Arabidopsis thaliana: one gene and its partner. The protein of the gene in region 2 interacts with the protein of the main gene of each other region in a pairwise test. Each region holds a gene or a part of one and is shown on either strand. Other genes may lie near its edges.

Region 1 (4,835 bases), on a different chromosome or scaffold from region 2:
GTGATGCAGAACACAAAGGTCACTACTTTATTTCACAATGTCAAGTAGAGAACTACATTTGTTTTACTCTCTAATCCGCGTCTATTTGGTTTTCAGATTGTTGAACCGTTCACGGCTCATTATGTTTTTGCACTTGGAGTAGCAAGGTTCCTCAGCTGTGCCCACTGGGTTTTACAGGTTAGTTTTGATCTTCAAGAGTGGATAGAGGTTATACCAATAGTGGTGATTCCTATACTCGATTGGATTAGTACCTTAAAAGTCGATTTTGAATAGCTGAATACATTGTCTAATGTGCTGAAAATAGGTTGTGGACACGCGGGGACGGTTGCTTGTAGCATTGGGTTATGGATTGTGGCCATCAATGGTTCTGATCTCAGAAATTGTTCAAACTTTCATCTTGGCAGATTTCTGTTACTACTACGTCAAAAGGTACGCATTAGTCCTTCACTTCAACAGTTTAGCTATTTAGCTCTTTGTATATATCTCAAAAGTTTCAACATTTTTCTTTACAGCGTTTTCGGAGGCCAGCTTGTTCTCCGGCTACCGTCTGGAGTAGTATAAGTTCAAAAGATAGAAATACCCCAACGATGTCCTGCGATGAGCTTGACGGAAATTCTAATTGGGAAAGATAGCTCAATTTTTCTTTACCTCTGATTTCATCGTTTATGTGTCTTGAGGTTTCACCAAGTGTCTCGGTTACGAATTAATTTTACAGTGTTGTATATTTTGCCTATCAAGGGATTTAACGTCTTTCAGGTCGATAAGTTATCTTTGAAATTGTTTCTTTACCAAAATTTAAGCAACACTAGGGAGAGAACGTCTTATAACTTGAAATTTATTAACGAGAAATATGATCACTGGAAATCAGTGAAACTGCAACAAGCACGTTGAACGCATTTTAAAAAATCACTCTCCATAAAAAAGGAAGAGAACAGAAGTTAAAGGTCCGAAAGGTTTCTCCCATTGATGAAGTTGATCACTTTAGTAGCAGTTCCCTCTAATGCAGCGGTCACAACTGTCAAGTTCTGCAAGAACTCTTCTGCTGTAGGTTTATCTCCGTCCACTAGATCGGTCACGGCTTTGAGGAACACGACTGGTATTTTCAGAAGATCAGCCACATACGCCACGGCAGCACCCTGAAGAATCCAGAGCCAAAAGAGTTTCAAAACAACAGTTTCATTGATTTTCTGGTTAGATTCAGTAATAAGAATTGTTAACATTACACTACCTCCATGTCCTTTAGCGTAGCATCATTGGCAATGATCAATGTTTCATCTTGCGTGGACATATCCAACGAGTCACCAGTAGATAACCTGCCAATCTGAACCACCCCAATTTTGTCAAAATTGAAATAGTTAAAAGAGTAAGTAGCATCTTGAGTCTATTAAATACCTTCAAATTGAGTTCCTTGAGGAGATTGGGTGTCGAGAATGCCTGACGGAGACCAACTCCATACAGATCAAACATCTAGAGAGATAAACAAACATTGCTCAGGAACTTGCAAGATGAACTGGCAAAAAGGGAATCATCACTAAAGATGGAAAAAAGAAAGAAAGGAAGATGAACCTACCGGAATTGGTATTCTTCTATCATGAAACACAACATCAGATACAAGGAATACATCGCCTATGTTGGCTCCTTTGACCTGCAAATGTTCAGCCAATCAGCACTTTCATTACATGAAAATAAACCAACTTTCACAACATAAAAATAGAGATATGGAGAGAGAGAGAGATCTTTTATGATGCAACTCAAATCTCAGAGTTGAGTAAACGAGCAGTAACAAAATCAAACCCAAACCACAAGTAAAGAAAGAAGAGAGGACGTGGTTCTTAGCAAGGATGCTGGAAGTCAAGACAGAGCACACGAGAAGTAAAAGAACTGTACCTTGAAGCCACCGCAGGTTCCGGCATTGATTATGATGTCAGGTTTTAATGCTTGGATGGAAGCAAAAGTTATGAGAGAAGCTGGAACAGTTCCAACACTATCGATCCCTGGAGAGAAATCTCAGTTAGTAGCATAAAAAAAGTGCATTCATTTTCCCTCATACCAAACAATGCAGCGACTTGAGAAACCAAAGCTACTATACTAAAATGCTGAGAGATTCACAGGCTAATTATCATATCTTTGAGAGCATTGAGTGCAAAGCTTACCTAAAGCTGCATCTCTTCCGGGGCAAACTACATTGATTCGAAGATCTTTATGCACGCCGTGATACAGAACCCAGGGCAATCCTTTACCAAGCCTGCAAAAAAGTAAACTTTGAAGTGAGAGATTCATGGAGATCAAATCCAAACAAGCAAAATCGAAAAAAGGAGAGCTCTTAACGGCGAATCAGTAGTTTCAGAGAGTCCGAACTTGTTGACCAAAGGAAGAGCCTCCGCTTGCATAGCTGCAGCTCCGTCAGAAACACACAAAAAGTAAGTAAGAAGACGAAGAAGAAATCGATCGAATCGGAAACTTCATAAATCATAAAGTACCGATGACGAAGACGACTGAGGAGATCGGTCGAAGAATCTCCGATTGAGCATCGACCTCAGGTTCTTCGATGTCACTTAATCCATCTCCATGAGGAGCCATAACCTTATCCCTCTCTTCCGATTCTCGGCGATGCGTTTGATTCCCAGGAAAAATCCGAGAATCGGAAAGAAACGGCTGGAAACTCCGGCGAATGAGAGATACAGTTTATTCGTTTTTGGACCTTTTGGTCCTCTTTTGTGTTTCCACTTACCAATAATAATATAATAAAAACAAATTATTTTTTTGTGCTAATGACCGTAATTAATTAAATTTAGCTAAGTTTTTGTACTAATCTGGTCTCCTTGTAGTTTTAGCCAAGCTCTTGTAATCAAATTTTCAAATTCTTCAATTAACTTCAGAATATTTATTTCACACTTTTAAAGATAACTCAAATGTTTCATCATAGCCATTCAAGCATCATAAACGTAAACAAATTTTAACGAAATTAAAAAACAGAGTAAACATTGCATCCCATGGTCATTAGAAAAAAAAAAAAAAAGGCATGAGTAGAATCACCACACCAACAAGAGGAAACCCCAAACTTTCAATTTTATACATCTGAAAGTAAAGACGGTTTTCCTCATTAATCTAAAACTTTTGGGGGTAAACACTCAAAAGTCAAAACCATATAACATTTGTTGCTGCTAGTGCTGCTTATTCCCTTCTATGATTAGTTTGAAGGCTCCTCTGTATCAGTCGAAGTTGACGGCAGAAAGGTAGCCGAGGTGAGCGGCTCGTGAACCACCGAGTTAGAGGAAACCGATATGGGACTACCCTCGAGCTGCAACATTATACTCCCCAATATCTCTGCCATTGTTTTCTTAAACTCTTCTTCCTTCACCACATTTCCATCATCTCCATTCACCATCTTCAACGCTTCCATTATCATATTATCCATCTTATAAACAAAAACAAACTTAACTAATCAATGCCGTTCAAAAAATAAAAATAAAAATTCACTAATAATTTTTGATTAAAACACTAATTCTGGTTTCATTTGTTTAACAAATAATTGTAACATGTAAATTCAAAGGCAAAATAAACAATTTAAAAGACAAAATAATTTAGACGGGGCATTATTTACCTGGGACACAGCGCCTATTGGTGGTAAAGTGGCCGATGGTGCAACAGTGTCAAGCACAGCTCGTAGATATCCTTTAGACACCTTACCCTGACGGTCTTTTGGAATCGTCTCCATGGCAACGTTTAGTGCCTGCGACCAAACCGTTCCGGATCATCATCACTCGTTACCATCATTTAAAAAGTTTTCCTTTAGCATAAAAGCTAGATAACATATATATGTATGGTAGTTTACCTTATCGAATTCGAATTTATTGGACAAGAGCCTCCTGATACCGCTCCCATCAAAGGTGTTTTCGCTGTGAGCAACGATCACGGGCTGTTCATTGAGACGCTGAGCCACACTCTCCACGACTCTCTTGAATGCTTCCAAGAATCTCTCCTGAGACGCGCTTTTCTCTCTTTTATCTTCTTCATCAAGACAAGAGTCAACAATTGGTTCTACGATGTTGCTCATCACCTGTTACAAGGACTTTGCTTTTTAGGCAAAACTCAGTTGTCTCTAGCAACATATATAACATCAAATACGAACTTGGATACATATTACGTATCATATGTACTCCCACCATGTAAGTATCGTTCTGATATTTTGTACAACAAAAAAAAAACACCCGAAAAGTATTTTTACGGTTTTGGTAAAAATACAAAAACAAACGGTTCTTAATATTATATGCTTTATTTTATCAATCATATAAATTTAGATTTGAAGTTAAATTAGGAAAATCCATAGCTTAACAGAAATATATAAAAATAAAATAAATAGGTACCCATGGGTCGTTGGAAGGAGGCATTCCATGATCAACAGAAAGAGACTGGAGAGCTTTGACGATACAATCACGGAGCGATGCGTCCTTGCTACTGGAGAGCTCTGAGAAAACAGAAATGCTCTCGATTTCATATCCAGGGCCGTGGACAAACTCCGAGAGATCCTCACCGTCCATCCTGAGGATGACGATAGGATCACGTTTCAGACCAGCAGCCATACCCAACAAAATGTCCGACAACACTTCTTTGAACTCTGTCTTGCTCACTTTCTCTTGACTCCCATGAGTGAATTCGTTTAGGACCTGTATATAGTTTATTATAACGTTACAAACGATGAAAAATAAATGTACGGATAAGACAGCTAGAGGGTTATTGGTTTAATCTCGTTGTCTCTTCTTTAAATACACCAAAAGCTAAACCTAACGATAAGTAATTGGATACTGATTTGTATCCACTAAGAGAGAGATTCG
Region 2 (3,708 bases):
ACAAGTTATTGATCCAAATCCAGAAAAGTTTGGAAGTTTGTGCTTGAAGGTTAGTTTATCATTCGATGTCAGTTTTAATGTGTTTGTGATTTATCTACTAAGTTTTCCGTGAGGTGCAAGGAGAAAACTTTCACATATTTTCGTCTTCACTGGCTAGATATAAGTACATAACGATTAGCTTCAGCATCACCAAACATGTTATTCTACCCACAGAAGTACTGATTTTAATTCAAGGTAGTTAGATAATGAAATAGGGATTTAGGGAAATAGGCTATGATGTTTAAGGTGATAGACGTACTAATGTTTTTGGCATTGCTCATGAAAGTACCCAATCATAAACATGAGAAACCGCGTTTATTTCCTTAATCCCCAGATATCTGAAACGTCAAGAGTTTGTATCTTGTTAGTGAAACCCTCAAAAATCCTCTAGAGATTTACAGATTATATAACATGTTGAAACTGGGATGAGAGTGGAGTAAAATCAGAAGTTGGTTGCTAGCTCAGTTTCCTAAATAATTGCTGGAACGGTGCAACTGCAATTGGTATCACACAGGTAAAGAGAAATCACCAGTTTGTATGATTCTTCACATGTTCTGCTATTAATGGCCAACATTCACTTTGGATCAAGGATAAAAATATTGTAATATTTTCGTATTAAATTAGAGGATTGTGCTTAAAATTCATAATCATTTACTTTTGCTTTTTTCAGTTTTTTCTTTTTACTGTTGCAGGTACAAACTACAAAGGGAGATAAGCTTCAGTTTCTTAACCAGACTTACGGTTCTCTCTCAACCTACAGACACATTTATCTTTGATTCCAAGGTAAATGAGATAATAAGATTAAGGCATTTGATATGATGAAACGTGGAGATTAGAGCAGTAGTATTAAGGTTTCGACATGACACGCTGCGCAGGCCCCCAAGAGTAGATATCAGAAGCCGAGTTTCCATTAGTGAGCAGATTTTGAGGCAGTCCATGAATGTCATCTAAAGGACGGGATCTTCCATTCTGGTAGTACTGCTGGTTCTGCATAGAGGCAGCTTCATCATCATCCATAGGAAGACGATCAAAAACAGCATTCATGAAAGATGCAGCCATGAGAACAACAGGACCAGATGCGATTAGCCCACCAACCACTCCTCCACCAACAACCTGTCCTTGAGGTCCGGCTAAGTAAATGGTCAGACCAGTTATTCCAAGTGGTGCTGGTGGAGGCAAGATTGATCCAAGCAATGAGAGGATCTCGTAACGTCCGTGTAATGTGACAATTGCTCCTGATGAAGCTGGTTGCCTTAATGTCACATTGGTGACACAACCATTGGCACTGAGAATGCAGAGACCTCTCTGTTTCCTTCTTGCAAAATCCGATAAAGTCTCACAGATGTCACAACCTGAGCTGATCTCAACGGCGTTAGCTCTGAGGGAATTTGGACTGTCGTGAGTCACAATGATTGGTGGTTTGGGTTTGTTCTTGGAGCCAGCGGGTCTGCCACGTGGCCTCTTAGCCATCTCTCCTTCGATTGATGAAACCGGTTGGACGGCTTTGGGTAATGCTCTCAGGTTGTTGTTGGTGTTGCCTCTCTCTGTTGCTTCATGGTTCCTCATTGGAACAGACTTGGATCCTACAGAGGTTGGAGTTAGAGCTGTACCTCCAGCCATTGTTATGAATGTTGTTATATGTTCAACTGAAAGATTCAGAAAATTTGTGAGGAGTTTGTGAGTTTAAGTAAGGAGATTTTGGTGAATTATTAAATGGTAGAGACACCAAAAGAATGATTGTGAGGAGTAGGAGATGGTTAAGTTGTCACCAAAAATTGTGATTAATAGTTAACAAATTTATTTTGCAAAAAAAGAAAAAAAAGAAAAGTTTCTGGCAGCCTACTTCTCAACAGATGATTAAGTATTTGATTCATGACAATTGTCTTCTTTAACAGAGAGATTCATAATAATGCTTAAACATCTTGTAGCTATTTACAACCAAATTTATACCCTTTTTGGGACCAAAACTAAAATCAAATACTGATCGAGAGTTGAGAAACAACAAAAAATGAGAGTCGTCCACTGCTCTGTATTTTATCGCCTTCCATACTCGACTCTTATTGGGCTTTTAAATTGGTCCTACAGAGAAGGTCCAATAAGGCCCAAAATATGTAAATGTACACGTGTGGTTGGTTCTTAGCCTTGACTTGTCGTCCTCGACCTGTGCCACATTCATCTCTCTCTCTCAGTCAAATTGTTGTTTTCTTTCTTCGAATCGGTGCAGAAAATTCAGGGAAGTTCTGGGGAAGGTTGTTGCGTTTGACTCCTTTGGCTTAGTTTTCTTTCGAATTCCGTGCTTCCTGATGATCTTACGTGAAATTGCAGCCTAAAATTTCGAGATTGTTTTTTTTACTCAGAAAACGAGATTTGACTGATATGAATCGAAAATCTGTGATTTAAAGTGAAGCATGAATGCGAATCACAAGAACGGGAATCCAGGTTACCATAATCTCTGGACCAATGGACTTATCTGTGCTTTCGAGTTTTGTCAAGGTCGTCGTAAGAATAACACAAGTGTCCATGGAGATTCGTCTCTCAGAATGTATGATGATTGTTACTAACTTGTTGATACATATTAGTGCTTAGTCTCTTTTTTTCTTTTTCTTGTAGAGTGTTTTTTTAAACAGTGTTGTTGTTGTTGTGATAGAAAGAAACAGGAATGTGAAACAGATCAATTTGGTACTGGTGAAGACGAAGAACATTCTAGGAGTTATTGGCGAGGAATTGGATGGGATAGGATCTCTGAGCTTGTTCAGACTGTTCAAGTTGATAATAATTGGGATTTGCGAAAGATTGACTTAGATGAGGATGAAGCCACTGTTGCTGAGCTTGCTGCTCCTTACTGGGAACGACCACTTGCTGGTCCAACTTGGTGGTGTCATCTTGATGCTACCCATCATGGTATTGCCTCGTGGTTACGTAATGCGCATTGGTTACATCCCGCGGTCAGTCTTGCTCTGCGGGACGAAAGCAAACTGATTAGTGAACGAATGAAACATATTTTCTATGAGGTAACAAAAATCTGAGTTATGTTGCTTCTTTGTAATGTGAGCTGTGCTATGATTCTATAGCTGAAATTTGTTAATATGTTGGTGGATAGGTGCCTGTCAGAGTTGCTGGTGGGTTGCTGTTTGAGCTGTTGGGACAATCAGCGGGTGATCCTTTCATCCAAGAAGATGACATACCTATTGTCTTAAGGTCTTGGCAAGCACAGAATTTTCTGGTGACTGCATTGCACGTTAAAGGCTTTGCCTTGAACATTAGTGTCTTAGGTATTACTGAAGTCCAGGTTTGTTCTTCTTATTTGAATCATTGTTTTCCTTTACTCGTTGATCAATTAGTCAAAACTGGTTTTCAGTCTTCTGGGGTTCCTTCTGTCTTACCAGGAAATGCTTATTGCTGGTGGAGCCTGCATTCCGAGAACCGTTCATGAACTAATAGCACATCTTGCATGCCGCCTTGCACGCTGGGATGATAGGTATTTCCCTTCCCTTGAATCTAGATTAAGTTGTGAAAAAAGTTGTATATATTGGGGAAGTTTAGTATTCATTATGAAAGTCTTTAGCAGTGGATACACATTTACATGGTCTATACGGTGTAGCCAATGAAATTGTTAAACCTTTGTATTGCTTTGATAGAACCTATTTGTCTTATCTTATTCTTAGAGTT

The links.
Region 1: the proteins of AT2G42940 (region 2) and MTN1 interact in a two-hybrid assay, tested with the Arabidopsis thaliana proteins (one large-scale study listed by BioGRID).

The regions. Positions count from the first base shown.
Region 1 is NC_003075.7:18,112,417-18,117,251, forward strand, and holds MTN1 (methylthioadenosine nucleosidase 1), read right to left. Parts: upstream 2,761-4,835; 5' UTR 2,581-2,760; coding exon 2,481-2,580; intron 2,393-2,480; coding exon 2,329-2,392; intron 2,246-2,328; coding exon 2,154-2,245; intron 1,995-2,153; coding exon 1,888-1,994; intron 1,646-1,887; coding exon 1,571-1,645; intron 1,468-1,570; coding exon 1,393-1,467; intron 1,322-1,392; coding exon 1,229-1,321; intron 1,137-1,228; coding exon 939-1,136; 3' UTR 745-938; downstream 1-744. Other genes in the region: AT4G38790 (ER lumen protein retaining receptor family protein), read left to right, coding at 1-18, 97-177, 305-429, 513-561; AT4G38810 (Calcium-binding EF-hand family protein), read right to left, coding at 3,191-3,418, 3,605-3,733, 3,836-4,060, 4,368-4,667. UniProt on the Arabidopsis thaliana protein: Enzyme of the methionine cycle that catalyzes the irreversible cleavage of the glycosidic bond in 5'-methylthioadenosine (MTA) to adenine and 5'-methylthioribose.
Region 2 is NC_003071.7:17,861,612-17,865,319, forward strand, and holds AT2G42940 (Putative AT-hook DNA-binding family protein), read right to left. Parts: upstream 1,846-3,708; 5' UTR 1,660-1,845; coding exon 886-1,659; 3' UTR 643-885; downstream 1-642. Other genes in the region: AT2G42950 (Magnesium transporter CorA-like family protein), read left to right, coding at 2,448-2,581, 2,687-3,050, 3,140-3,328, 3,426-3,517. UniProt on the Arabidopsis thaliana protein: Transcription factor that specifically binds AT-rich DNA sequences related to the nuclear matrix attachment regions (MARs).